3 linked regions of the Alligator mississippiensis genome follow. The protein of the gene in region 1 interacts with the protein of each later gene in a pairwise test. Links are inferred from orthologs where the notes say so. Each region holds a gene or a part of one and is shown in the gene's direction. Other genes may lie near its edges. The genes, in order: NUP50, KPNA6 and KPNA5.

What was found.
Region 2: the proteins of NUP50 (region 1) and KPNA6 interact in binary tests that used the Homo sapiens proteins (3 or more experiments, as listed by UniProt). The two-hybrid records come from large-scale screens. The link is inferred for Alligator mississippiensis from reciprocal best matches to the Homo sapiens genes NUP50 and KPNA6.
Region 3: the proteins of NUP50 (region 1) and KPNA5 interact in binary tests that used the Homo sapiens proteins (3 or more experiments, as listed by UniProt). The two-hybrid records come from large-scale screens. The link is inferred for Alligator mississippiensis from reciprocal best matches to the Homo sapiens genes NUP50 and KPNA5.

What each region holds. Positions count from the first base shown.
Region 1 is NC_081827.1:134,201,738-134,211,371, forward strand, and holds the start of NUP50 (nuclear pore complex protein Nup50), read left to right. Parts: upstream 1-5,597; 5' UTR 5,598-5,753; intron 5,754-5,809; exon of another isoform or gene 5,810-5,999; intron 6,000-9,612; 5' UTR 9,613-9,622; coding exon 9,623-9,634. UniProt on the Homo sapiens protein: Component of the nuclear pore complex that has a direct role in nuclear protein import. Actively displaces NLSs from importin-alpha, and facilitates disassembly of the importin-alpha:beta-cargo complex and importin recycling.
Region 2 is NC_081829.1:5,508,723-5,518,863, forward strand, and holds the start of KPNA6 (importin subunit alpha-7), read left to right. Parts: upstream 1-5,900; 5' UTR 5,901-6,005; coding exon 6,006-6,009; intron 6,010-10,141. Other genes in the region: protein FAM229A, read left to right, coding at 273-375. UniProt on the Homo sapiens protein: Functions in nuclear protein import as an adapter protein for nuclear receptor KPNB1. Binds specifically and directly to substrates containing either a simple or bipartite NLS motif.
Region 3 is NC_081824.1:101,706,222-101,716,507, forward strand, and holds the start of KPNA5 (importin subunit alpha-6), read left to right. Parts: upstream 1-6,589; 5' UTR 6,590-6,695; coding exon 6,696-6,699; intron 6,700-8,407; coding exon 8,408-8,541; intron 8,542-9,261; coding exon 9,262-9,363; intron 9,364-9,449; coding exon 9,450-9,549; intron 9,550-10,286. Other genes in the region: ZUP1 (zinc finger-containing ubiquitin peptidase 1), read right to left, coding at 1,591-1,700, 3,292-3,399, 6,057-6,381. UniProt on the Homo sapiens protein: Functions in nuclear protein import as an adapter protein for nuclear receptor KPNB1. Binds specifically and directly to substrates containing either a simple or bipartite NLS motif.

The sequences.
Region 1 (9,634 bases):
AGGAGACATCTGAAGTTGTTGAAAGAGTACCATCAATGCTGCCAGAAGATCTTTTGAATCTAGTGGGAAAGCAGACAAACCAACATTAGCGTCCTCTTGCAAGTAAACACCATGAGTATTGAGACAACGATCATTCAACATCAACTTCTTTGGGCTGGCCATGACATCCAGATATCTAACTCCAGATTCCTGAAACAAGTTTTATTTGCAAGATCAGCCAAGAAGTACACTCAAGAGGAGGGAAGAGAAAGTACTTTAGGGACATGCTCAAAGCTGACTTAAAAAAATACAACATCAGTCAACTCATGGGAAATTATTGCCCAGGACTACACCAAATGGAGGAAGAGTCTGAGGCAGAAACCTCAGTACTTTGAAACCTTTCAATAACAACAGGGGATGGAAAAGCGAGAGCAGCAGAAACAGCATGTCATGGACTAAATCAGGACTACAGTGCCACCTACCCTACACAAAAAAACATGTCTAAGCTGCAGTAGAATCTGTCAATCCCAGATAGGCCTTATCAACCTTCTTCGGATAATCGGAAGACAATCATCCTTGACTACGAGAGATTGCTGAAGAAGATTTAAAGGGAATCTCTTCATACCCAGTTTTGACAAGAACATGATAAAGATTCATACATCTATATAAAAGCTGTGAACATATCTGATAAGCTTATTTAGTCTTCTTTACTTCGTGAAGATGATATGTCAGCAAACATTTCTTAAACAGTTCTAAAAAGGATATTGACAAAGCTGAGTTTCAAAGCATAACCTGTTGTTAATGGTTCTATTTTGTTGCAGCCACTGCAGTTGTCATGTAAATATAATATAAGCATAGTGATCTTTTATAGTTGCATGCCTAGATGCAGATACTGCTTTCACACCAATGATTTCATTAATTAGGCTTTCTTACAGACAAGAGGACTACCTGAACAGAACTCAGTGCAGGATTGATAGACTACAAAATAAGGCCCAAATCCAGCAAATATTTATGTCTGTAAATAGTCCCACTGGATTTAACAAGACTACTCAAAATGCATTGTGTTGCAGGACAAAGGCCAAGATTTAGTGCTGTTACATTGAGTGAGACTTGTAATTATATATTAGGCTGTAATATTTTGACACTCGGTACAAGAAAGTAATGCAATAGCTTAAGACCACACAGAAGTTACCAAAAAATTGCTGTATGTACATCATAAAATAACTTAGAAATTGATACCTCTGCATTTTTATATAGCTGATTTTGTGACTTACTACAGGTGGAGTATCTTTAACAGTCAAAGTGTAGTGAACAATTATTGATTGACATGATTTTCAAATAGGACTACAGAGTTTGGTTGCCTCAGTTTTGGTGGTACCAACTGAATAAGTCTGATTTTCAAGAAGTGCTGGGTACCTACCATCTGTAAATAAGGACCCATTAAGGGGTTTAACGTTGGGCTTTATTCACTGGAAAAAATCACTAGTCACTTAAAAAAAAGACAATTCTGCTATGAAAAAAAATTATGATCCCATTACCATAATTTTCTTTTTTCCTTCCGGTTTATTATTCCCTTTGCAGTTTATATTAGAAAAAATAAATTTTCCTCTAACATAATATGCACCTATCAGAAACATGACTGTATGTAATATACATTGTTGTTGTTATTGTTGTTGCAATATAAATTTAAATAAATAAAATAATTTTGCTCTATATACTCATATTAATTTTATTAAACATCCTGTGTCTGGCCTAAAAACTATTGGAACAGAAACTATTATTTATTGTGTGTATGTGCTTGTAGTGTGCTTAATTCCTGTTCTGCTAAGTACTGTATAAATACTTAACAAAAAGACATTTCTGGACTTTAAACTTTTACAGTCTAAACTGGCAATAGTCTTATCTTTGTACACTGTAGTAGTCTCTAGAATAGTGGTTCTCAACTAGGGTGTCATGGGAGCAGCAGCCAGGTAAAACTGCTCTACTTGTTCCCCATTTCTAAGCCTAAAGCAGGCAGCAAAGCTCTGTCATGCAGTGCAGTGATTTGTGGTCCAGCTCCTATAGTTCTCCCAGAAACAGGCCTGCGTGGCACTGTCCCATCCACTTTTAGTTCTGGAGATGCGTAGGGGTACCAGAGCAGGTAGGATTACACTGTAGGGGGCAGCTTCTGTCTGCTTTAGGCTGATCTGAGAGCATTAATGCAGGGGCAGTGCATGCACATGGCCCAACCCTTCCCAGGCTGGCTGTGCAGCAGGCATGCAGGGCAGTTCCATCTGGGTACAAGATAACCCGGCTGAGAAGTACTGAGGTGAGCTGAGGCAGAACCACAGTGGTTCTCCGACAGAGGTACCACCACATTCAAAAAAATGGAAGTGGGATGCTGTGACCCTTAAAAGGTTGAGCAGAGCACCACTACTTTAGAGTCCCATTTTGTTAGCAACCGTACAGAGAAACGAGTTCCTTCCCAGGAAAGCTTGGAGTTCTGGATTCTCAAAAGGTACAAGAAGTCAAAAAAAGACAAGACTGGTTAGAGTGAGAATACAATAGGAAAGGCAGACATCTTTGCATAAGTAGTCTAAGGGTTTTTCTACGTAGGGATGTGATATCAGATTATCATTCATATTACAGTGCCTTGCACTTACACACAACTACACATTTTTTTTATAAATTTTTATAAATTACCAGGCACCTTTTGCTGCAGTACTTAATCCTCTTTGGAACAGAAATAAGTTGATTTCAGAGTCTGTTCATTTTAAGTTCACAAGAACACATTCCGTACTATGCTTCAGACAGTCATCTCGTTGCTATCACACATTGTATGGCTTCACACTTGGATCAGGTGCCGAATTTTCACATCCGCATGACTGACCCATTGCTTTGTTAAAATAAAAACATCCTTCTACGTCTCCTCAGGACCTACCTGAAGAAATCAGGCTCCAATGTAGACAGGCTGCAAGGATGAAATTATTAACCTTTTTCTGCCTTTCTCTAATTGCACCCTCCCAGCACTGGTACAAGGGCACTATTATAACAGGAAAGTAAGTTGGAAGACACAAACATTTCAGAGTGAATTGCAAAACTAGGAAATGCAATTTTTTATCATTTTTGGCACGGGGACTAGTCCTTTCTTTGTTTCCAGGTCCTTTTGACAAGGTAATTTAGCAGAATTTGCAGGTTCATTAGAATTTGACAGGACCATGCCACAAGTGCCTTGAATTTGCTGTGGCCTTGAATTTGTGACCTCTGAGCTGATAGCCTTGAGTTTATGATCTCTGGGCTGTCAACCATGTGCCTTGGTGTGCCTACACCACCCCAGCCTCCACGGTGACTAGTACGAGGACAATCAATTGGTAATTTTTGTGATTTTCCTTAGCACTTGCAATGTTATGGACTGCCCAGAGCCCTTCTCATCCTAATAAAAGGCTGCCAAACCCCCAAAGTAGATAAACGAAGACAAGAGCTATTCAAGTAGTTTGTGACTGCACCTAACAAAAGGTCATAAAAGCTTCTGCCTTTATAGGGTTATAGGGAAGATTTATTGAAACAATCCTTATGCTTGAAACGTGGTGCACATCAACATATTTCCAGTCATGTCCTTGGTTACAATACATTCATTATCTCTCATTTACCACCCTACCCTATTTCTCTTAACATTTGGAGCATTTTCCAGAGGCCTCGCTTTGGCTGTCCATAATTTTCAGGAAGTCTCTCCACTTCCAGTCCTTTTTTCCCCCTGAGCTGGGAACTACCTCCTTTATTTTCACAGATGTTTTGCAAAATTCTGCAAGCACTTTTCACTAGAAACATGTGAGATGCATTTGGCCTTTTCATGAGGCTCAGCCACCTTCCCTTGCCTTTCACACATATTACACCTACATTAGCAGCTGAATGGCAATGAAGTGTAAAACAGCTTCCTAAACTCATCCAAGTGACCAGCAAAAAACTTCACTAACTAGAGAATTAGAATATAAACTGGAACTTCTAAAACAACAGGAAGAATCTTAACTCTATTAATGTTGATAGTGATTTGAGGAACAAAACATTTTTTTGTTCATTCCAGAAATAAGGAATAAATTTCTAATTATCCAAGAGGCTATTTTTGTATCTTTGTGAATTTTCAGAGTTTTTGTCATTTATAGATCTTTTCCTGCCCACCCTGCAACCTTCATTGGTGATTAACCTAAACTTGCAACATGATGGAGAATTCGCCTTCCTGTTGATAAAAGTTTTTGGCTAGTGTGTGAGGCTAAGATGGCTTGAGGTTCCCATGTGTATCCCCATATGGTTTTGCAACCTCCTCTCTGCAAGCTCATCCTGTACAATAACTAAGGATCTACCTAAGTCGCTGTGAGAAAATGAGTTTTTTGCAGCCTGCTTGTGGTACACAGAGCTGATTTTGCAGAGGCTCTGCCTCCCACTGCTGATTGGCAAACAGCGCCTTCGTTCCATCTACATCACTACCACTTTCTCTGCTCCTCTGGACTCCTTCCAGTTTGTCTACATCCGTCTTAAAGACTTGTGCCTGAAATGGGACATAATACTTCAGCTGAGGCATCACTAGCACTGTACAAATAGTTACTTGTGTCATATACGTGGCAGGCCTATTAAAACATCCAAAAATAAAACCTTCCTCTTTTGAAGCACTATCACAGTCTTGACTAATATTCAGTTTATGATTACTATAATCTTCTGACCCTTTTCCCTCTACCTGTCCAGTTATACCCCACTGTGTATCTGTGCATCTTTTTCCCTTCAACAGAGCTGTACTTTGGGCATATCTTTACTGAATTTAATAAAAGCTTCAGCCATTCTTAAAAGGTAGTCACATTCCATTCATCATTTACCTGCAAGTCCTTTAGCAGAAGAGGCTGCTGGCCAATTACTCTTCATACAAAAAGCTTTCTTTTTAATTGTTTTCCATGTACTTGCTGTACTATTAATTTAACCAAATAACCTTGTGGGAAATTTATTATTTTTGTGTGCAGTGCATTTTACCCACTCACTATTGTTCAGCTATCTACTTGGTTTTAAGAAGTTAATTCCTTTTCACAATGCCAAGAGCCTGGAATAGGAATTTGAGTGGGTCTACTTCTGAATGAGACACTTATTCAGGTCTGTAAGCAACTGGATAGGCAGCAGAGAAGTACTTTTTCCAGATCCCTAATAGATAATCCTCAAAATGGGAACAATGGAAACTGACAGATGTGCAGGCCCCTGCTCTATTCATGGTGCTTTACATGAAGCGCCATAATTTAGAGCACCTGCCCCCCGCAACAGATGTTCGCTTGTTGGGTTAGGGGTGGTGGTGATTGAATCTGTCTGCAGCAGACAAGCTGCCTGTCTCCCCCAGCCCCACTCTGCCCCCCGATGGGGACACAGCAGACACTGAAAGAGAGCGCTCGCGCAGACGCGTGCATCAGAGAGACGCCCTCTCATCCGAGCGAACAACCGCAAGCACCCCCACCCGCAAGGCTCCGCAAAGAACGCAGCCACTATCCTTTTCCAAGGAGCGCGCGGGCCGCGGGCCACGTGACCCGAATTCGAACGCCGGGCGCGCCACTGACGCAGCAATCTTGCCCGTTTAGCCCCGGCACGCATGCGCGACTCGCCCCTCTGAGGCCGAGCCCTCCGAAGAAGCCTGCACGTCTCTCCCTATTGGCTGACTAGGGGCTCGTGACCCGCTGTTCCAACGGCCGCCCGCGACTGGGGTCCCCCCTCCCCCTCCAACTCCTTTTCGCCGCCTCATTGAGCGTCAGCGGCGCGGGCCGAGGCCGGTGAGTGCGCACGCGCGGGAGGGGGGCAGGGGGTGGCTGCTGCGGTGGTTACCGACCGTTCCCCTTTCCCCAACGGTTCCCCCCGGGCTGGAGGAGGCGAGGGCAAGATGGCGGCCGCCGCCGACTGAATCGGGACGCGGAGGGCGCTCCCGGGGCCGGGGATGGTGAGCGGGCTCGCGGCCCGGACTCCTGGCGGGCGGCACCCAGCGTCTCCTCGCGGGACGCAGCGAGGCCCGACAGAGGGAGGTAGGTGCCTCGCGGGGTCCCGTCATGAGGGGCTCTCCCTTTCCCGGAAGGTCCCGCCCGCGCGGCTCTGCTGGGAGGGGCCCGGGCCCGGGCCTGCCCACGACCTGACAGACTTTAGCTGTACCACGGCCCTGGCCGGCTTGGGGCAGAGCTTGCCATCTCCCAGTCGTGGCTGCGGGTGTGTGTGGGAGCGCCCGCGCCCTCCCAGGGCTCTGGGTCCCTCTGGCCCGCGGGGGAGGACGGTGCACATGGGGGGAGGGGCACCCTCCAGCTTCTTCCCTCCTCTCTTTCCGGACGCTGAGCACGGGGATTTAGCAATACCTACTTCATCCCGGCTCTTTTGGGGAGTCGGATCAAAGTCTTGGTTTCAGGGAGTCAAAAACGGGGTGCTGCAAGCTTTACATTTTAATTCGTTTATTTATTTTTAATTTGTTCCAGTGCAGTTGGTTTTTGGTCAGGGTACATGTGGCATGTGCATGTTTCACTTCCTGTGCTTGGCAGGCCAAGAAGCAAAACACCTGCCTCACAAAGCTATTGATTTAGTGCCCAGAGCAGAAATCAAACCTGGTCAGTTGCTGCTGGGCAATCAAGTGAACATTAGGGGTTTACATTTCACTATAAAATCTTTTCTCTAAAATTTCTTTATAGCTTGAGGCAGGTTTTAATTTGCAGGACTAGTGCTGGGACAGCTGGGTGTTTTTGGGGGGGGGAGGTTGCCTTCAATTGTCTAATTTTAGACTGTACATTTTGGTGTGTTTTGAAGTTGCCAAGAATCTTACGACTGCATTTTCCGATATTATTTTAGATATCAGTATGTTGTATTATAACTATGGGCACCTTGTTGGATCGGCTCCGATATAGGGAAAATTGACAGTATTGGACATCGGGGTTTTTTTTGCTTGGTGTGGTCAATAATACGGCTGATAAATAAATGCCCCACAGCCACAGCATGCACATGGCCAGGTGCGCAGCCCTGCAACATGCGCAGCAGCATTTGGGGTTGGGGGAGGGAAAGAGTATGTGGGGAGGCAGATTAAGGCCCCCACAGTGAGGGAGGGAGTAGGGCAGGGGCAGGCACTGCACAGCTGGGGTGGGGCACGGGATAGAGTCGTGTGCAGTTCATCCATGGGGTGGAGGCAGCTCCTGCCGCTCTCTGTACCCCCAGGAGGGCGTGGGGGCATGTGCCCCCAGATCCGCAATGCGGGGTGAGGGCAGGATGCTGCTGTTTGCTGGGGCCAGGGTAGTGCTGGGCTCTTCCTAGCAGGGGCTGGGCTGCACTTGGGGTGAGCACCAGCAGCATGGGGGGGGCCTATGGTGAATTTCTGGGTAATTTCCCTGCCCTATAACCCCCCTCTGCTACCCACCCCAAGGGCAACCTGGTCCAGCCCCCCCCCCTCCCCCCCCCCCCAAGAACCCAGCCCAGCTCACAGTAGCATCCCACCCTTACTCCCCAACGCAGATCTGGGCCCCCTCCCAGGGTGCACGCAGGGCAGGAGCCACCTCCCCTCCCCATGTCCCCCGGACAAGCCACTCACAGCTCTGTACAACCCCTCCCCAGCCCCATGTCCTCCCTCACCATGGGGGCTTTGATCTGCCCCCTTCCTTTCTCCCACAACAGCCTGACTTACCCGCCGGACGGACACTGATCTCCAAGCTGCTGGGTTGCATATTGGATTGGTATTGGCTGATATGGCTCCTTAAAAATCGGCCATTGGTATCAGCCCCCAAAATCTCTATTGGTGTACCCCTAATTTTCCAGGTGAACTTCTCCTCGGTTTTAAAGTAAATGCAGTTTGGTGATTGTTTGTTTGTTTGTTTGGCCTCACTCTCCATCTGGCCTCACTGTACAATTGCTGTGGTGAGAGCTGTGTGGAGAACACCTCTGCATGTGTACAAGTTATGAGGTAGAGAGTCTCTCATATCTCTGCTTTCTAATCCAAGAAAGAAACCTAGTGAGAACTCTGTTTAAATTCTACTTGAATGTGCCTTGGTTTGTAGTGAAAGAGAACCTCTTCTTTTCTTCCCCTGTGAAGAAGTTGTGTAAATGCATGTGTGTCTGAAGGAACACTGAGGCCAGTTAGCTTCTCTTGCTTTCTGATAAAGGGTACCAGACTTTTATGCTAAGCTACCCCTTACTTGTTTTTACCAGTGTACATGCTCCAGTTCCTTTACTCTTGTTGTGGTGACTAGATTTCCCATTCAGTGCAGAGAAGCAAGACTTCCATAATCTGCAAATAGCCTGCTTTTACATTAGTGAAGCATGCAGGTACATCAGACCCAAATGAATCATATGAAACCTGTCCCCTGATAACAAAAGTGGGGGCAAGGCAGAGTTCCATAGATTAGAGTACTTTCCTTGTATGTCAGATATTCTTGATTTGAGATCTGGCTCCTTAAAATTCTTCAACCCAGTTGTCTGTCCCTGGTTTTGGTGTGAAAATTTGGTGAGGCCATTTCCTAATATCATCCAAAGAGGGGTGCTTGTGCAAGCCTGCTCTGCAACTTCCTTTTGTAGCCTTTACAATACCCTGTCCCTTTAGGGAGGGTTCTTGGGACTTTTTTTTTTTTTTTTTAGTCTATTTTCCTTCACAGTGGTTAACCAGCTCGCTCTTTTGTGCTGGTGTTCTGACTTGCTTGTGGTTTGGATGCTGAAGGAAGCCTTCTGAACTTTGGTGATTTCATCAGTGCAGGAAATACAGGGCCCCAAACCTTATCTTATTCTTGTCCCTAAGCAAAGTAATTTAATTCTACTACTGTAATTCATGAATATTATCAACTGTCAGGGCTATATTTACTTCTGGAGTAAAAAATGACAGTGTTTCCATAGGAAATATCTTTATAGTTAAAGCCAAGATACACAGAGGCCAAATTTTTTAGGTATTTAAACAGATCACAAATCTTGGTTATTGTTATAAACTCCATTACCTTACTGAGCTTAAAGTAAGTTGTATTAGTGCAATTGACTTATTTTTAGCTTTCTAAAATAACCCTGCTTTCTATGTAGAATTTCTCACATATGTGTCTCTAACCTCAAACTTAAAATAAAATTCTAACACTGACAGTTTGCCAGGATCTTACCAAAGTAAAATGTGACTTTTAAACTCTGTTTTGCTGAGTACAAGGTCCCTTATTTCTCCGCAATAAAAGGAACTTTAGGTGGTTACTTTTCACTGTAAAATCTTCCTCCCTCTTAAATTTTAGAAGGTTCATGGGAGGTATCATAATTTTTAAAGGGTAACATGTATGCTCTACCTTTTTTAAGGTAGGTTTCTCATTTAACTGAACTGTTGTGGTTCCACTGCTGTCTGCTTTAGAGCTACTTGTGCGCTTTTAGGATTTGAGAACACACTACATACGTAGGCATCCTGAAATAAGTTTCAATTATCTTGAACAAATTTAGCATCAAATAGCAACTGTATACGTTAAACATAACTGAGACTTTATTCATCTTTTTAATTTTAAATTACTTTATTAAAGATACAAATGCACACTTCCCATTTTGTTCTGAGCAATACAAGTTAAGGAATATTTGAACTAGTATTTCATTCTGTGCAAATGTATTCTGTGCTAGTCTAACAGTTCACCAGATTACTGATTAGTGAAACACTTGCAGGTGTGGAGAAATGGCAAAGAGA
Region 2 (10,141 bases), on another chromosome or scaffold:
GCCTTTCTCTGCATAAAGCCAGAGGAAAAGGGCACAAAGGACCTGTCTGAGCCGAGTGCTGCTGCCTCCCTGCCCTGTCCAGGCGGGCTCTGATCCCCTGACTCAGTCCAGCCCCTGCTGGCAGGAGCCAGCTGCTAGACTGCCAGGCCAGCCCATGTTTCTCTGCATCCAGATAACCATGTCAGCAACCTTGCACCAGCCTCCTGGGAGGCTGGAATCAACCAGGTCTCCTTTCCCCCCACCCACAACCCCCACTCTCTCTCATTGTGCAGGCAACTGAGAAGATGCCCAGGGTGCCACTGCCTGACGCTGCCCAACGTCCCCATTGACGTCTACATTGCCATGGGTGGGAACCGCAGGCCGCGGACCACCTAGCGGTTCCCCCAAGTTGGACTCGAGTGCTGAGGCCACGGAGGCTGCCGCCAGCAACGCCCCGGCAGCCGGAGAACAGCAAAGGGCGCCACGCAGAACGGTGACGCACATTTTAATAAAAGGACGTCTTAGAATGTTCCTCTGCATCGGGTTCCTCTGCCGTGGCTCCCGCCAAGAGACTTGGCAGGGCCTCTCGCCGGTGCCTGGTGCCTGGGGTCTCGGCAGGGAATGACCGGCTCCAGGTTTGTGGAGGAGGTTGCCTGGCAGAGGGCACTGCTTGTGCGGTCCTGGCTTGCTGCAGAGGCTTTGGCACCAGGCTCTATCAGAAGCTGGTATGATTTGCTCCTGACAGTCTTTGGGTTCAACCTATGTGTCTCCCCTGCCCCTGCCATGGCTGCCTCTCCCTGCTGGGCTACCTGGGGCTGCTTCCCAATGCCCTTCTAGAACACTGGTTTGTCCCCAGCCTGACCCTCCCATTCCCATCCTCTCTCTTCCAGCCCTGCAGCATCTGCTTGGTACCCAACTCAGCAGGCGGGCAGGCAGCTCCTGCAAGGGCAGAGCGTGGGGTGCCCTGGTTCCCAGGCTCTCCCTATTCTCACTCTGGCCTTTCTGGTGGAAGAGGAATTGGACGGACCCTGCACTGGCTGGCTGGAAGCATAGGTAGCACTAGCAGCCTCCTCCCCTGCTCCTGCTGGGTTTGATCCAGTCATGGGGAGGAGTGTGGGGAATGTATTTGAGCACAGAGGTGTTGCTGGACAGCCTGGGTTGGGGCAGAGGTTGGTGGGGGTGACGAGATTCGCTTTAACGGAGCAAGGAGGGTGAGGTTCGGAGTGTGATCAAGTCAGTGGATGGGACTGCAGGTGGTCTTGGATTGTGCAGGAGCTGAATGCTGGATGGGTGGCTGGTAGCAGGGGAGCCTCCCATAGCGTGCACTAGCACAGGGGCTGCCCACCCCCAGGGGAGGGAAGGAGGTGGCAGGGAGCCAGCAGTAAGAGCATGTTGTGTGCAGGCTGCTCCAACCAGGGTTCCTCCAGGGCTCTGCTCTTCATCACTTGGGAGGTAGGGCACAGAGCGCTGCTGCCTCATCCCTGCCTTCCAAATGTGGAATCACTTTTATCCTTTATATCTCTGAACCGCCTGTGAGTTTTGTAACCACCTTTGTTGGGGGAGAAAAGTTCTTTAATCCAGAGCTTTTCATAGGCAGATGTTGAGATGTCTATGCCTTTGTTTCTCTTGGATGCACCAGGGGTGTGATTCTCCCCTGCATTGCACCAAGGGGCATGAGTAGCCCCCTGATTTGGCAGCATTTCAGGCCTGCTTTGCATGGGTGGGTTGGCATTTGTTTGCTTAACATCCACACCATGGAGTGTGTGTATTTGGAGCATGTGTGTCACAGCCATGCCTGGTGCTCTTAAGCAGAAAGGGGGAGATTCGTGATGGTTCCCAGGTCCAGTGGGCCTTTGTGGCAACAAGTTGAGAGGTCCATCTCCCACACGGACAGGTTTTCTCCTTGTGGTCAAAGCAGTACTTCTGCTGTGATAATTAGCCTTCTTTCTGCATGTTTTCTGCCTCTGGCCAAAGGCATTAAGCTAGCAGTTGCCAGCTCCTCACCTGTTGAAATTGGAGGCTTCCATCCTTTAATTCTACTCTATCAGGCATGAATTGGTGTTGGAGCAGCAGGTCTGTCACGGGTGTGGGGGCTGATGTGTCTACCTCATTTGACTTGAAATGTTTTCCTGCCATCTTGGCCCCCCATGCAAAGATGAGAGCCCGTCAGAGCTCCATATAAAGGGAAACCTGGCTCTGCAGGCCACGTGCCACCCCAATGAAATTACATCTTCACTAGCTTCCACGTGCTGGGGGTTGGAGGACTCCTGCCTATGAGGATGGGCTGTGGAGCATAAGGTTCCCTGCCAGCAGCTGGCACAGAAACTCCGTTTTTCCATCAACTTGCAGCTTATGCTTTAACATCCCTGGTTCCTGCTGCCCTGGGGTTGAGAGCAAAGCTCAGACAGAGAGGAGCCTGGCAGCAGATGTATACCATCTTGTGCCAGAGACTATAGGGAGCTTTGTCCCCTGCACCCGGAATAATAGAGGTAACATCATTGGATTTAGCAGTGCGCGCAAAAAACGCCTTGTGTTGCCGTATGTTCATCTTGGATTTCTCTCCTCTCTTCTCCAAGACAAGGGATCATTAGATCATCCAGTGTGACCTTGGCAATGCAAAGACAAGAGTCTGTCAAAGCTCCTTCCACAGGGAAAGCTGGCATGTTGTTATGTTTTGTCCTGCTATCACTGCATGGAGCCCAAGGGCATGTTTAGCTGAAACTCTGTTTTAGAAAGCCATGCAGTCCTGCTCTGAAGCCTCAAAGACTGGAGGAGCCAGTGCTTCCCCTGGGTGGTTTGTTCCAACAGTTCATTCCCCCACTGCTAGACACTGGTGCCTTCATCCTAGCTTTGAATTTGGCTGACTTCAGCTTGCAGCTGTTGGGTCTTGTTCTGGCCTTTTCTGATTCAGATAGTCTATAAGGTGTATCTCTACCTTGCCTTCTGCCTTTGCAGCTACGTTGGAGAAAGTGTTAGTGTCTTAGTGTCACTAGGAAGGTTTTTATATGTTGAAAATCAAATTGCCTCGATAGTCTCTCGGATGTCTCTGTGCAGCACTTCCTTCAGCCCTTCGATCATTCAGGGGTTCTTTCTGCACTCTCCCCAATTTTTCAAAACTTTTTTTTAATACAGATGCCCAAATGGGGTGCGGCATCCTGATATCTACATCATCAGTGCCACGTGCAGCATCCTCCTCATGACTGCTTCCTTGCTCTGGGATCTCGTTTTGAGTTGTACACCCATTAGGATCCCTACATCCTCTTCAGAGTGGCTGCCTTGCAGAATCCAGTGCGCCAGCCTGGAGGCACAGCCTGCAGTTTTTCTTCCGGGACTTATGAACCTTGCATTGGGCTGCCTTTAACGACATTATGTTTGAATGGGTGCACCAGGTGATTCACTAAGGCAGCTGGTTCCTGCCCTAACTCAGCAAAAGGGTGGAAGGTAAGAGTGCTTGGGGCCCTCTGATGGAGGTCCCGTATGAGCAGTCTCACCTGATGGAGAAGGCTGGAACAGACCCCAGCCAAGTCCCAGACTGGGGAGCTTCAACACTGCACAGCAAGGGACCCTGGTGTAAGAATGTGCCCAGGGGCTGCTCTCGCCCGTCTCCTATGCCAGAGGGCTCTGAACTACTTTGTTTTCATTATTTGCCATCTGCCACAATTGATTTCATATTAACCCCTGGTCACCGTCAAAGCATATTGTCCTGATCCCTGAGACAGCGTGGGAGATCCCTTCCCCCACTTGAATCATAGCTCCCCACAGGTAACTTTTTTTTTTTTTCTTTTTTGAGATTTGTCAGTTATGCAGATATTGGTCCATCACTCTCATGTTGCTATTGCACTCAATAAAAGCAGAATGTGCAGTTCCCATGCTACCTGTGCCTGGCCAAAGTCTGCCGGTTGTATTAACTCTGTTACTTTTCCCAGCTCATGTGTAATTTCCAAAAATCCCATTTTTATTGATGAGGTCACTAAAACCGCACTGGCCAGTACCAATCCTGTATCTATTCCTGTGCTAAAGGTCACCCCCTCCTCAAACCCTGCTGTGCAAAGGCATCTAGATGGAGCAAGCTGTGTCCTACAATCACCGGAGTCCTCTGTGACTGCATGAAGCAGACTGGGGGGGAGGCATTCTCAGAGGCATATTGTGGGGCAATTATTACACTTCCTGGTCACATCTGCATGAGACGCTGACTGCACGGTAGCTCGTTACTACACAGTAGCATTGCGTGGCACAAAGTGTGGTGCGACACTACTGCGCAGGTGACGTTACCTAAAAGCCATTCAGCAACGCTACTGTGCGCTGACTCCAGGAACTGCACAGTGATTTAGTACTTATGTATGCAAGTACTGCACAGTCAGCATCTTGTCATATATGGGATAAGGAAAGCTCCTGCTTCCAGCTGGGAAGGTAGCATCTGATTTCTTCCTCAATGCTGCTCCTGCTTTCCTCCTTTCCACACCGTCTGGGGGAGGCTCGGGCTGGATCCCTGGTCTGTGGGTCAGCACCGACCTGCCCGCCTGCTCTCTAGGTGTTGCAGCAGGCTCTGCTCTGAGTGCAGAAGAGAGGCAGGGGGGAAAGCCACCCCTAGGCTCCTTCTCTCCCTTGGGCCCCTTGCTATGCAGTGTCAAAGCTCCTCAGGCTGGGGCCTGCTTCAGCCTTTTCCACCAAGTGAAGCTGCTTTGAAGGGACCCCTCCGAGCTCCTGCTCCACCTTTGGGCTGGGCTGGGGCAGAAACCAGTTGCCTTAGTGAGTTGGCACGAGCCTTTCCCAGCAAGATCAGCACTGCTGGCATCACACTGCTGGGGAGAGCGGGGACAGAAATGGAGGAACTAATAGCACCCCTTGCCTCTGCCAGCACATGTCAGCCATATACATCTCCCTCTGCCCGCAGAGAAAAGCAAACAGCCATTTACCCTGGGTCTGAGCACCAGTACCTTTCTCAGGCGGGAGGGGGAGAGCAGTTCCCGGGTAAAGGCAGAAATCTCTCTCTCGTTATTGGGGTTAGTCCTGGGATAAGGAAGCTTTCCCTTGGTCTCTGCTCCAGTCTGGCTCAGGTGGCTGCTGCCCCTGAAATCTGGCAGGTGGGCAGCAAGCTGCTGCTTTGGCACCAGGCCCTGGCAGACAAACAGCCTCGTACAGCATGGTTGGGTTAATGGCACTTGCCCCCTTGGGTGAGGACAAGAGCCGGCCAGAGCTGGGGACTGCCTCCCCTTCACCTGGTCCCCGAGACCAGGGCCCTGCCCTGCAGTGTCCATGGAGCCGGCCCATGGCCAGTGGTGCCCAGCAAGGATGCTCCCGCGGGAGCCGGGGATGCCCAGGCAGGGAGTGCACACAGTGCCGGATTTAGGCTTAAACTACTTAAGCTACAGTTTAGGGCCTTGCAATAGAGATTTCATAGGTGTTAGGGCCAGAAGGAACATCAGCAGATCGAGTCTGACCCCCTGCCCGGGGCAGGGAAGGGCGCTGGGGTCCGACGGCTCCAGCCAGGGGCTTGCCCAGCCTCCTCTTCAAGACCCCCAGGATAGGGCAGAGCACCACCTCCCTCGGGAGCCCCTTCTCCCTTGAGAGCCCAATAGGAGGGGCCTCTAAATGAGAAGAAAAACCCCCAAACCCTGGGCATTTTCACTCTATGAATGTATATTTCATGTATACATTTCAGGTGTATATTTCATGTGTCATAATGTGACAAAAATATACCTCTGCCTAATACAAGAGGTCCGATTCACCCAAGGAGCCTTGTCTGCCCTCGGTATATACAGCTCCATGCAGACGTAACGAGGGTCCCGCTCTCGCGGGTTACCTTCGCCCCCTTCATGCGCACGGAGCCCGGCGCTCCAGCGTGTCGCTGCCGCCCGCGCCGGGCCGCCAGGGGGCGCGCTGTCCCTTTAAGAGGCGTCCGCATCGCGTCGCGCGGAGGTTTGTCCGCTCGCGGCCGCCGTTTCACCCCCCCCCTCGCTGCCCGTCCGCCATATTGTGGCCGCCGCCGCCTGCGAGCCGGAGCGTCGGAGCCGCCGGAGACAGCGATGGGTGAGGGCCGGCGCCGGGGCCCGGGTGGGCGCCGGGGGGTCCCCCTAGCAGGGTGCTCGCGGCCCCGGGGGCGCTGTCTCATTCCCACGGAGATCCCTGCGCGGGCCGCGGCCTGGGCCTGCCCCGGGGGTGCGGGCCGGGCCGCGCCGAGCGGCGCCCGCCTCCCCGGCGGGGCTCATCCCGCTCTCGGGAACTCGTCTTAAAAAAACCCGCGGCCCCGGAGCAGGCAGGACCGAGCCGGCTTCTTTCCAGCGTCGCTGCCCTGCCCGGCCCGGCCCTGTCGGCTCCCGGGTGTCAGCCCTCAGGAAGCGGGCCCGAGCCTGGGCGCAGAGTCGCTGCGTGGGGCTGCCTCTGTGGAGGCGACAGGGAGCAAAATACCCGCGTGCGAGTCCAGGTGTCCCTCGGCCTGGATGTGCCAGTTCGCCCTCGTGCCCCGGTTTCGTTACCCGCGGGGTAACCCCGCTGTCACGCCGTCCGTGAATCGGGGCGGGGGGGCGCCGAAATGCAGCCTCCCGCACGGACCTGGCTGCCTGCGACACGTCTCCGTGACAGGGACAGCCGCCCCCGCCGTCTGCTATGGGCGAGCCCCAAAACGGTCTCGCCCGAGCCGTCGAGTTGAGGTCTCGGAGCGTATCCGATTTTTGCGTGTCTCCGCTTCTATAACGCGCCCGTCTTGAAGCGCTCTCAAACTGTCCTTCTTTGAAAGTGGGTTCCCTGCATGTAAATTGGAGCTGGGCCCGTTTTCCAGCGAGGCGCGTACGGCACGAAGCGAGGGAAACGCGTCTAGCGAGCGGACGGTGACGGGTCGCTCTCCGTAGGAGCATCGTGCTGCGCGTCCTTGATCTGCTCTCGCTTGGCTGGGAGCGAAGGCTTTCGACGCCGGGAAGGGCGAGACCGCCCTTTTTAGGCCCTTAATGAGCCAGGCTGGAGCGGGGGGGGGGTTGGATGACAAGCCAAAGCAACCCGGCTGAGCGTACCGCCGGCCGGCCGGCCCCTCTTGAAAGCCAGGGCCGACTGCTTGACGACGGCGCTGTCGAGCGAGGTGTCAAAGGAAAGGCCGGTCTAGTTGCAAGTCCCTGGTTCTGGGCCCTGCCTGGGCAAAACGGCCTTTCCGGGATCTTTTATTCCACCTCCCAACGCCGCTTGCTTGTAAAACCATGACTTAAAAAAAGCGGCGCCGAGAGCAGGAACGAGGTAGCGATGGAGCTGTGCCGTCCGGGACGCTGCCTGACGTATCGCAACTTGGATGTCAGCTCTTGACCGGAGGTTTGAACTGAATTGAGGTTGGAAAGCCGTCACTTGGCTTCTCAAAACAGAGGGCGAACGCAGGGGGAGCAGGCCCCCTTTCGTGTGTCCTGCTGGTCTGTGTTACATGATTTACGACCCCGGCTAACTCAGCTCTCTGGATGAAAGCAGTTGAATAGAGTAATTTAGGCTTTACATAAAAAAAACCTGCACTGGCAGATCATTGAGGCAGTGGTTAAGTGCTCAGTTTGGGTATACCAAAACAGCCGATGCAGGTAATGTTAACATAACAGAGGGACAGAGCTAAAGAGATTGCTGTATATAGCAGTGTGTGTTATGTCCAGCCCTGCGCAGCAAGCTCTTTGCTGCGCAAGCTGTGCACACACAACATAGAGTAGTGCACCACGCTTCATGCTGACACAAAACTACTTGAGACAAAAACTTGGGCAGCTCAGTTAGGTGGCTGCTTTGCTTTGCATATGGTTGTATGGACTGAACACTTATTTGTGAAATGAGTGTGGGAAAGGGTCAAGATAAAGGCATGGAAATAGGATCTCTGTTCAATAAACGATTTACAAACCATTGCGGAAGGCAAGTAAACTTTAGGATGACCTACAGTCTGGGGGTGGGGTGCATACACAACACTATCTAAGTTTAACAAATTGGGTATTAGCAAAGATTAATGTTGGGCGTTTTCCCTTGTAGTCTTCTTGGGGAAGGAGTTTCAAGGCAACCTGGAATGGTGAAATGCTTGGAGCAGGTACAAACACCAAGTCTTAAGTGTTTGGTTTAGACAGAGGCCTAATCCCCTGGTTTAAGTGCTATTATACTACTCCAGCTAAGATCAGCTTGGTCTTTATTATGCCTTTGTAGATGCTAGAGCCTGTCTATGTATGCTGGGATACTTGTCTTCTGCACGAAGCGCGCAGCTCTGTGGAGAAAGCGACAGAAAAGACCTGGAAAATGTAGGAGGGTAAAGAAGGTATCCAGGTTGTAGCTATATTGGTTTAGAGGAAAAAGCGATTGGGATTGGTGGTAGAGGTGATTATATCTTTTATTAGACCAGCTAGATTTTTGCAAAAAAAATCTCTTTAATTGCAAGCTTTTGGGCAGACAGTTGAATGTGAAAGTGAGTCTTTGGGGACTGGCTGAAGAAAAAATGGCAACCTCTGTGTTTATTCCCTCAGGCCTCTGTAATCTCAACCCAAACCTTAACAGGATTGAATTTGGTGAAAGACCAATATACCAAGTGACGGTGAATTCCCTAGAAGCAAACCTTTGCTTTTCCTCTCCCTCTGCAGCCAGCACCATCAGCAAAGTGGCTGTGCCTTCCAAAAATGAGATCACATCACGGGCTCTCGGTAGCTAAAACAGAAGGGAATGAGCCAATGGTGACTGCTGCACCAGACAGCCAAAATAATTGCATGGATAAGCGTTTTACTAGCACAGAATGTGCTGTGTGCACAGCACACAGCTATGGGATCCAAGGCAGGCTGTGTTAAGACAGGTCTTAGCATCCACTGAATTAACGGATGTTCGTTTGTATTGAACATTCAGGAAAGAATTTGCCTTGAGAAGGTAAATGTGGCCCAGGTACGAAACAGAAAATACCTATGGTTTTCTCTTCTATTTTTATTTTTTTTAATAATCTTAAACTTTGTTTTACTGAAACTTTTTCTGAACAATGCCACATGTAACACTTAATCTGCGTATCTGAAATATTGGAGGGAAACCTCAGTTTAATTTCTCTGATGGTTTCTCTGCATTACTTTGCTTTTTCTTGCAAGTGAAACCTCACTGGTACAAGAGGTGAGGGACGACTTGAAAATGGGTATTGGAGCTAAAGAGCAGGTTCAGTAAACCCCCCCCCTTATTTAGCTAGTTCTAGAAAGGCACTAGATTGAGTTAATGTTGTCCCTTCATGTGTACATGCAGCTAACTCTGTCCTGTGTATATATTCTTCCTGACAAGCTTAATTAGATGGTCAGATATTTCTCAAATACAACTTTAGGTTCTTTTCCCTACAACCTTTGACCGTGGTGAATTCTCTTAGTTTAGTTACGAACTATTCAAGGAGAGAGTTTCTTAGACAAATGTTGACAGGTCCTTATCTGTAGCTGCTGCTGGTGAACCTATGGAAACTATCTGCTAGCTGGTAAAGCAGGACTCTGCATTCTTCTCTTATTTACAAAAAAAAAAAATGATGTTATCCACTTGCATTTAAAAAATGATTTTTCAATTCCATTGTATTTTTGATACTGTTCTGAATTTTGTAAGGCTTTTATTTCTGTACCACCATTCAGGTTATACAGATCTTTCAACAATCAGGAAACTAATTGCAGAAGTAATGGTAAAAGCACCTTTTTTTAGTGCTGTCAGTCACACAGCAAAAGGATTTTCTTTCCATTTACTAACTTATTTAGTTTATCCTGATCCCAGGTGTTACTTCTACCTATAGTTATTTAATTAAAAAAAAAAATCACAAAAAAACGGATGTGGTCTTGTAACTGTTGGCTTCTCTTTTATATTTTTAAAGAAATTACAGTGATTAGTGTTAATATATTGGCTAGATCAAAGGAGGAAAGGATTACATTCCTAAATGCTTCAGGGGCACTTATTGGTGTTCCATTGTCTCCGTGGCTTTGAATGGTTCTGTTTTGCTCACCGAATGCAGCAATTTTACTGCGACTTCCCAGCAGGAAGCACAGTCTACTGCTATAGTTTGAAGGAAGTGCCAATTAGTGGTTGAATGCAAAAGAGGTTGGATGTTGTACTAGGATGCATTTTACTAGAAAAATGTATTGCATTTCCACATCTCCTGCCATTTGGGGATCTCAAAGCATTGTACAGATACTAGCTAGTCAAACCTAACAATTTAGTAGGTGCT
Region 3 (10,286 bases), on another chromosome or scaffold:
GCCCTTGCCCTGACCAAATGTGCGCACTTGAGCAAAACCATTATGGACAGACAGATTAAACTCTTTATTATATTAGAATAAACATTGCTCCCATGCCATCCAAACAGTTTAATTTCAGTCCATCTACTATACAGCAGTTTTCTTGTAATATCCAACTACACAACCAATCTAATCATGGTTAAGTAACATATACTGAAAATTCATTACTCAAAAAATTGTTAAAGTGAGAGTCATGTTAAGTGAGGGTAATGAAACATGACATTCAGCTGATACATTTGTTTACTTAATGCTTCTCAACTCAGAAGAACAGGAGTCAGATTCAGCCCAATCCAACACAGAGCCCAACTGATGATACCATTAACCATTCAACAAGGAGAAATGCAAAGTGCTGCACCTAGGGACGAAAAATGTCCAGCACACCTACAGCCTAGGAAATGACCCGCTGGGTGGCACAGAAGTGGAAAGGGATCTTGGAGTCCTAGTGGACTCCAAGATGAACATGAGTCGGCAGTGTGACGAAGCCATCAAAAAAGCCAATGGCACTTTATCGTGTATCAGCAGATGCACGACGAATAGGTCCAAGGAGGTGATACTTCCCCTCTATCAGGCACCGGTCAGACCGCAGTTGGAGTACTGCGTGCAATTCTGGGTGCCACACTTCAAGAAGGATGCGGATAACCTGGAGAGGGTCCAGAGAAGGGCCACTCGTACGGTTAAGGGCCTACAGACCAAACCCTACGAGGAGAGACTAGAGAAACTGGACCTTTTCAGCCTCCGCAACAGAAGGTTGAGAGGCGACCTTGTGGCTGCCTTTAAGTTCATCACGGGGGCACAGAAGGGAATTGGCGAGTATTTATTCACCAAGGCGCCCCCAGGGGTTACAAGAAATAATGGCCACAAGCTAGCAGAGAGCAGTTTTAGATTGGACATTAGGAAGTACTTCTTCAGTTAGAGTGGCCAAGGTCTGGAACGGGCTCCCAAGGGAGGTGGTGCTCTCCCCTACCCTGGGGGTCTTCAAGAGGAGGTTGGATATGCATCTAGCTGGGGTCATCTAGACCCAGCACTCCTTCCTGCTTATGCAGGGGGTCGGACTCGATGATCTATTGAGGTCCCTTCCGACCCTAGAATCTATGAATCTATTAGATTGTTTTCCCGACATATCATTACTTCTGACATACTTTATGGTACAATCCCAATTTATGATGCGCACACTTTTTCTTTGCATACATCTACAGTCTATGTAAGGTACCAAATTCAAAAACTCTAGGTTCAGGTGATCCTGCAAAGTGACTACCACAGATTACAACAGAAAATAAGGACAAATGTTCTCACTCATGAAAATGGCTCCAAGTCTCACCTTTGAAATACAGAATGGTTATCAAAGTCAAAAGAATGAATTTCAGCTCTATTATTTTTATTTTATTAGTTAACTGTCTGCACTTAGTTTAATTGACATAATAATATGAACATTGGTGAACAGCAAGACACCCAAGCAGAATACACACAACTCCAAGATACCCCACTGGTGATGATAATTCTCCCCCCAACCCCAGTTTTTATCATTTGAATACCATGGAAAATTTTCTGTACCTGTAGTTTTTTAAATTCTTCCTTCTCCTTTTTCACTTCTTCTAATCGTTGCTGTCTATCTTCTTCCTCTTGGAGCTGCCGAGCCAATTCTAAATCACCTACATTTATACCTAGCAGTAACGTTCAAGAAAGAGTTGACAAAGTTTATATTTAACTTCATTTGCGTACACAAACAGGGAGAGGATAGTAAATGTAATTTTCTCTCTATAAAAGGAACTTAAGAATTCAGATGCTAGATTGAGTGTTTGAGAATGATTTTGAGAAACTAGATACCTGTCAGATGCAGGGATACATTTAACTGAAAGAACCTTTCTAAGCTAAGGAATATTTATTCATTTGCATTTTAATAATACATCATGTAAAAAGCGAGTTGGTCTGACATCCAACATTGATTTAATTGGAAGAGTTTGTACAAATGTTTGTAAGTACATCAACAGGAAGTACCTGATAACTGTATGTTAATATTTTTGGGAGACAACTCCCACATTTATTAAATTATTAATAATTTTGAAGGTGCACCTAAACTCAAGTAAGAGTACAGATTTATTGGAGGGATTGTAAGAGCTGTTACAAGTAACCTGCCCCTCTATTAGTAAGGAAGAAGTCTTCTCTGATTAGCTCTTTCACAGTGGAAACAGATGTCACCTGATGTCTCATTTGTGCTGCCATTAAAATTTGTATATGTACTCTCCAGCTGCCAGACACGTGTTCTGGGAGCCTGAGAGTCCCTCAAGCCCCCAGAGCATCTGTCCAGCTTTTCCCACTTAGAGAAAACAGGGAAGCCGAGGTTCTCATCTTACAAAGACCTGTCCACAATCTTCTGAATTGAGGAAAGTTTGCAGGCTCCTGGCATGGAGGAATGGGACCTGAGAAATCCCCAGTGCCCCAATACCTCTTTATGAGGACCCACAGAACCACCCCTGGAATCTGTAGGGCTGCATCTGGGTAAACCGCATCACTGCACAGATGATCTGCTTCATTCGCCCTTAGCTTCAGCCTTCTTTCTTGCCTGAGCTTGCTAAAGAGAAGCCCACATCTTTTGGACTTAACTTCAAAAGACCAGGAAGCTTACTGGCAAACTTTCAGGTCCATGAAGTGCTGAATGACACAGATTAAAGTGAACACAGAGAGCTGAGGTAAGAGACTGAACAGAATTTCACAGGAGCTGGAGAGAGCTGGAGTACTAATGAAAAAATATCACAGAACAGAAACAGCTGATAAATCATTCTTTTTCTGTCAGAAGTCAGTAATCATGGGTAATTTAGATCCGAGATGCCAAAAATGACTTTTTAAAATCATCTGACTTGTGGATACTTGTCTATGTGAAATTTCAAGATGTGTGATATTAGACTGTTATATTTTAAAGAGCTGGAGAATATTAAAACTATTAAGTAGATCTATTAACATGTTTACATTTTACTTAATACACAATGCATATCCTTAGCAGTTTCACATCAGGTAGTGCTGTTTTCACCAACTGTTCTGTGCTGTAAAATTGTAGCTATAGGTATTTACTACTAACTGATTTTCATTTTTGAAAATGGGATCAACACAGACATAGCCATAACGTTAAATACCAATTTGTTAAATAACCAAGACAAACTTTAAGCAAAGTATAAACTATTGTTTTTTTGTAGGTATGAAACCTAGAACCAATTTAACTGCTTTTTGCCAATATCACCTTTTGATCTTTCCACCTACCTTCCGAAAAGCTACACTCCTCTAAGTGTAAGTCAACATGTTCTTGGAGAATCTGAGGGCTTGCACAGACAAGATCACACATTGGACATTCATAGAGCTGTTTGTTTCCTGTATTTGAAAAACAAATTATGTGAGAGTAGTACTGTGCTTAAGATTGGTGGACTAATTATTTGTTTCATAAAATCCAAACAAGAAAAGCAGCAAATCACGTGCTTTCTATGACAAAAAAAGTTACTACTTAATTCATTTTGCATTTATTTAAAATAAAAAATAGAATTTGCTAGTAACATGAATTCAACAGAGTGTGTTGAATATGTGCCTTAAGGCACATACTACCTGTACATTAATAAAAGTAAACTCTTAAGAACAAGTCAGCGGAGGGATCTTATTTTTCCCATCAAGCATAATATGATGTTTAACTTAACTATAGAAGATTGCAATTGTTACCAGACACCTTAAATTATAAAACAGACTTAAATAGACTTAAAATATCTACTCTTCAGTCCCAGATATTTCAACGATCCAGGAAAGGAACAACTCATTTTTCATAAACGAGTTTCTGGCCTTCATGTTCGAAGATATAATACAGATGTCATGGAAACAACAAAGAAAAAATGAGTTTGTTCTTTACTCATCATCCTCTGTTAAGCATGCCAGGAGATTCCTTATCATAACTCCAAATATATATTTTTTTGGTATTAGAAATACATTTCTAATAATAAAAGCTTGTCTATCTTGTATTTACCAAATATCTCTGAAGAACCAGAAGGCCAGAGTAGGATTCTGCTCAAGCTTTAATAAGGGAGAAAGCACCAACATTGAAAAAAGTTTTTCTATAACTTTTTGGCATCCCACTGAGTTTTTAAAACAAACAACAGTTTTAGCGCAGGGACAAGAATGTGCTTTCTTTTATCAATTGTTCAGTTTCACTCTGAGTACATCTTCAGACATGTAAGAACTGAGGGACATTGGTACAGGAATATGACGACAAATGACACTAAATGCAAGCAAGAGCTCTTAAGAGTCAGTAAGCCAAGCCTGTGGCTTCCCTTGGAAAATGAGTCTTAGATTCCGCAGCAAAGCTGTGCAGCACTCTAGAAATCCTGCAGGAGTTTCTTCCAGGTTTAACAAGTATGTTATTAAATTAATGGGGCCAGTAGAGACATGCCTAGTATTATTTATGGAGCTATATTACTCTATATACCTTCATATTTTCAGTGTTTCACATGTTAAAAGGATACATATAACTGCACTTTGAAATCAGTCAAGGGTGACACAATGAGAGAACCTAGTTCTACCTGACACACAATTCCTATTCACCAATGCAGAGGCAGTTAGCTTGTTAATCTGAAGCTGTCAGAAGGAAGGGCAGGAGGGTACCTTCCGTACTCCATGTTCATAGCATCTCTGAACCAGTCAGCAAGTAAGGTAGTAGTTACAACACTTTTTTGAGTGTGGTGGCACCCCTGGATGAAAGCCACTCTTGCTGCTGCCTCGCCTTCCCTCAGTGCTTCTAAACTGAGTGCAGTTGCTTCCAAGTCAAAATGCCCCACACGCCTGCTGTACAGCCAGCCCAGAATGTGCACACTCCTCCTGCTCTCTAGTAACCCTAAAGCTAGCTTGGGGCGCAGCTTTTCCTGGTCTGCCCCCTACCCTTGCTCCTCCTGACATCAATGATGCACCAGTGCAACTGTCCCTGTTTCTAGGAGGGGAGTGGAGAAAATGCAAATTAAAAGAGTTATGGAGAGGTTCCTTGACTCTTTAAAGTTGCATAAGTGCTGCATTAGAGGCTGGCTGGTTCTGAGAGGCATGAGCTTTCCTTGCTAACACGTGACTTCCTCAGAAGCTACAAAAGGATGTAGTACATAGTAGTGATGAAAGTTCCCCCTTCCGCACCTTCGGCCTGGCTTTGGGGGCAGATCCAGGGGAGAGTGCACAGATAAACTTGCACCCCTCTTTGATTCCTGCTCCACCCAGAATTTAAAACCAACACCCTGGCAGTGGCAACAGCATTTCTAGTCAGCTCGTGCAGAGGGAGTCATAGAAAATGAGGGCTGGAAGGGACCACAGGAGGTCATCTAGTGTAATCTCCAGCTCATAGCAAGACCTAACTCAATTGACTTCATGGCTCCTAATCTACCAAATCCCTGCTAAACTCTTTACTCCACAGGAGCTAGGGATTCTCTCTTCTGCTTACATGTCACTTTATATGAGACTGCACCTCACCGCCTGCACCCCCTTTCCAGAACTACAGCTCTGCTCGCACCTGGCTTTATCCAGCAGACAGCGGGAGCGTGCATGCCACAGCCCTGCACACGGGGCAGCTTCACTTGGCTGCCACCTCCGTGCACCTGAGGGGCATCACACAACACTCTATTGAAAACCACTTCTCGCAGTGCCTGCCCTGCCTCTGGCTCTCCCTATCCCAGGGAGGGGGTGAATCTCCATCCTTGGAGGTTTTTAAGACCCAGCTAGACAAAGCTGTGTCTGGGGTGATCTAGTTGGGGCTGGTCCTGCTTTCAGCAGGGGTTGGACTAGATGACTTCCTGAGGTTCCTGCCACCCATAACTTTCCATGATTACTATGCTAATCAGAGCCCTAGTAAGATACACAGACCCACGTGAGAGGCCTCCTAGCTCCTCCCGTGATGTCCCAAACCACTCTGTGGCATGAGCCCCCCACTTCACTGCAGGGCAGCTCCTGCTCTGGAGACCGCAGCGGGGAGCGGGGCTGGGTCCGGGCGTCACCCCCGGGCTGGGCCTCACCTGGAGCGGTGGCGAGCAGCAGGCGGCCGTGCCGGGCTTGCACGTGCGCCTCCAGCCCCGGGGCCGACGCCGCCGCCTCCCCGCAGAGGGGGCACGCGAGCGGGCTGGGCCCGGGCGCCGCCGTCGCAGCCCCCAGCGGGCGGGAGCTTTGCGGCCCCGGCTCGGGGTGCGCGGCGTCGATGTGGCGGCGCAGCTGGTCGTAGCCGCCGCCGCGGAAGCCGCAGAACGGGCAGGGCGGGCCGGGCCCCAGGTGCACCCGCGCCAGGTGGCTCCGCACCTCCGACTCCGACAACAACTCCTGCCCGCACACGTCGCACACCTGCATCCCTGAGGCGCGCAACCGGTTGCAAGGCTCGAGTAACGCCCAGACACTGAATTCCTTCCTGCTTCCGCTTTTGTGGCAGCAGGGCGCATGCGCGCGCGGTCAAAGCGCCTGCTTCCACAGTACTGCGCGCGGTGCATGACGGGAATTGTGGTTTTGTGTTGGGCTGTCGGCTCTGGCCGCTGCTGCGTCACTCGCGGCGCGCGGGGCCTGTTGGGAGGAAAGGCGGGGCTCGCAAGGCGGGCGGGGTTGCCATCTTGGATTGCGAGACGTCGCGGGCGGCGGCCTTTGGGGCCTCTCCCTCCGGCACCGCCTCCATGGGTGAGAGCAGCGGGGCGGGCGCTGGTGGGGCTCGGCAAGGGGCGCGGAGCGCGGCCCTGCGGGCTAGGGCCGACCGCCGCCTGCCCGCGCCTCTGCGGGGCGGCCTGGGCTGTCCGGGGGGAGGGGGAGCCGGCCCTGAAGGGCAGCCTTGCCAGGTCTTCAATATGAAATAATCGGTTGGGAAGTTCAAGTAGTCCTTTTTTCTGAAAAACGAGCGTACGCTGAGAAATATACATATAAGCATCCGAATAAGTGGTCTTTTTCTTTACTTTCTATTGCTGTCTGTAAGTTGTCAGCGAATGAGAGAGGACTGGGTCATCCAAGTGGAAGCATGCCTTTATTTGGAGGCCAGCAGTCCTAAGAAAGTGCTGACAGCAAGCCCAACACTCAATTAATTGACTCTCTGAGAGTGACTTGGGTTAATGAGCTGCCTCACAAATGATTGTACGCTTTGCACGTTTTTACTATCATTGGTCATACCAGATTTGAAATTATCCTACTAACATGATGATTGTCGTGCACCTGGTAACACTGGCCTGGGTTGGCTGTGGAGGGAGTCAGCTGTAGGGAAGGGGCTGCCCCCGGCGCTCAGTTCCTCCCTTTGGGAGGGCAAGCTGTGTGTTCGCAATCCGAAAGGAGGGTCCAGCTGCCTGGGAAGGTGCATGGTGGCTGCAGTCGTAGCAAGGTTTGCAAAGATTTGGCTGAATCTTACCCCATCTGGCAGCAGCGGCCCAGAGACCATAAGCTTTCCTGGTCTGCTCTGGTTACAGACCCTTCAGGCCAGCATTGTCAGGTCTTAATGTGAAATTATCAGCTTGGAAGCTCAAAATTATTGTATTTGCTGAAAAACTATTGCACACTGAAAAAATACTTTAAAACGTAAATAAGTACACAAATAAATTTTCTTATTTACTTCATATTGCTTACTCTAAGTCAGCAATGAGTGAGTGAGAACTGGGTCATCAAAGTTGAAGCATTTCTTTATTTCGAGGCAAGCCATCATAAGAAAGTGCTGACTGCAAACCCAGAAGTTGGTTAAGATTCCCTTAGAGTGACTTGGGTTTTGCATATTCTGCATCAATGAGCTACCTCAAAAAATATTGTAGATTTTAAACACTTTTACTGTTGTTGATCGTACATCGCACAACAGGTGAAATTATTGTTTAAATACAATAATTATCGAACACCTGGCAACACTGCTTCAGGCTGAAGGTACCAGCACCATAAAAGGAGCTGGGCATGGTGAGAGCTGAAGGGAGGGCACCAAATGCTATCATTCCCAGTTCACCTTGGTCTTGCCCTTGTTTCCAAGGTGCCATCAACATGACATCCTGTCAGAGAAGAGAGGCAAGCTACCATACTTGGGGGTGTGGTAGGTGATAATCAGTTTGGCAGGTTTCACTGTGAAAACTTCACGTAGACGTTGCCCATGTCAAGGTAACTTGCTTTTTCCAGCCTACTTTGTCCACAAGGAAGGTGCTGTCACATGGAGCTGGTTGAGTGCTCCTTAATTGTTTGTTTTACGTTGAGTACATTGTTTCCTAACCCAGGGTTTAGGAAATGTATCTGTTTAGGCAGCCTGTCTTTCAGAATGGAGTAGGTGCCATCCACTGTCAGAGGATGACAGTTTCTTGCCCTAGAGATTGTGCAGCTGCTTGTATCTCATAACATACAGACTTTTACGTAAAAGCATTGTTCTTTGTTATAGACACCATGGCAAGCCCAGGAAAAGATAATTATCGGATGAAAAGTTACAAGAACAATGCACTCAATCCTCAAGAAATGCGTAGACGAAGAGAAGAAGAAGGAATCCAGCTTCGGAAACAAAAAAGGGAAGAGCAAGTAGGTCTCTTACTCTGAAACATAGTAAACATGGTCTGTTAACTAAATAACTGAATATTTGTGAATGTAGATTGGCATCCACAAAGGGCGTTGAGATGCTTTTTGTTGTCTGGCCCTGGATTAAGGGGAAATGGGGGTGGCCATGCTCTATATGCAATTCATGGAGACATTAAACCACCCCTCAGTATGATCCAGAGGAGACAGGAGAGCAGAGAGGCCTAACGTATTGAATAGGAAACGCTGAACACAGGGTTGAGTCTTAGTCCACTAATTCATTGAGAGAGTGATTTACATTCCGTTTTAAAATATGTTTTAAATAATATTGACTAAAATAGCAAGACTTTAAAGAAGAGGATTTAGGGTTTTTTCTTGCATTTAAAAATGTGTCAAGTGTTCTGATTTAAAAAAGAATCATACAAGCTAAAGTATAGCATGAGTGAAGCCATTGCTGTTTGTCCCATTATGTACATTATGGGGATGTTTTGTGCATCTCCTTCAAAATTCATAATTTTTTTTTTGTAAGATCCCCATTTGCTTCAGTGATAGGAAAGGTGACTTGTTGATTACTTGTTGAAATTTACTTTTTTTCAAATTTACCAAAACATCTGTAGCTGCTTGTGGCACTGCATACTTTGAATGTTTACCTTAAATTTGGGTGGGAGGGGAGGGCATTTGGAAAACGTAATAACGTGAAACTTTATCTAGTTCTTCTTCATTTAGTTATTTAAACGCAGAAATGTTTCTCTCCCGGGAAATGAAGAATCTATGGTAGAAAGCCCTATCCAAGATCCTGATGTCAGTTCTACTGTACCTATTCCAGAGGTGAGTGTTTCAGAATTCCATTTGAAGTGTGCTTTCGAAGTACTGAAAACTGCAAAGATGTCATTTTTTGAATTTTTTTTTTAAAGGAAGAAGTTATTACAGCAGATATGGTGCAGATGATTTTCTCAGATGATCCTGATCAGCAGCTTACAGCAACCCAAAAATTTAGAAAACTGCTTTCAAAAGGTAAATCAGTGTTGTGTTGCTTTCTTTCTTCAAATTTGTTCATAAACATTATATCTTGAATTTATTACACTCTTCAAAAACAGAACTAACTAATGCTTCTAACTCTCATATCACATGAATGCCAAATTCGTTTGAACATAACAGTTAACATGCAAACCTTTATTATTCTAAAGTTAAGTCTTTTAGACAAAGGAAGAAAATCAAGGACATTTTGATTAGAGTATCAGAACAAATAGCTGCACACTTAGCAATCATTGCAGTACAGGCAACCCCTGCTTAGCACTCTTAATTGGTGCTGAACAAACTGAGTGTTAAGTGGAAACACACTAAGCGAAACCCATTTTCCTAGAGAAATTAATGTAAATAAATATAATTGGTTCTGCCGCTTCTTGCCGCCTGCCCACTGGCAGCTCCAGCACCACCTTGCCAGCCTGGGCCCTGTGCTCCAGCCGGCCCCCAAGCCTTGGCCCTGGGATCCTGTGTGGGTCCTGTGCTCCTGTAACCCCTGCCAGCACACCCCCCCGCCCGCCCTTTCTCACTGCTGCTGCTGCTCCTCTCCACCCATCGTCCGCTCCAGCACCACATGCCAGAGTGAACCCTGAGCTCCTGCCGTCCTGTCCTGGGCCTGGCCAGCCGTGGCCTTGGGGACTGATCCAGGCCCCGCGCTCATGCCCCCTGCCCGTCCCTTTACACCACCGCTGCTCCTCCCTGCCCGCTCCAATATCACATGCCAGAGT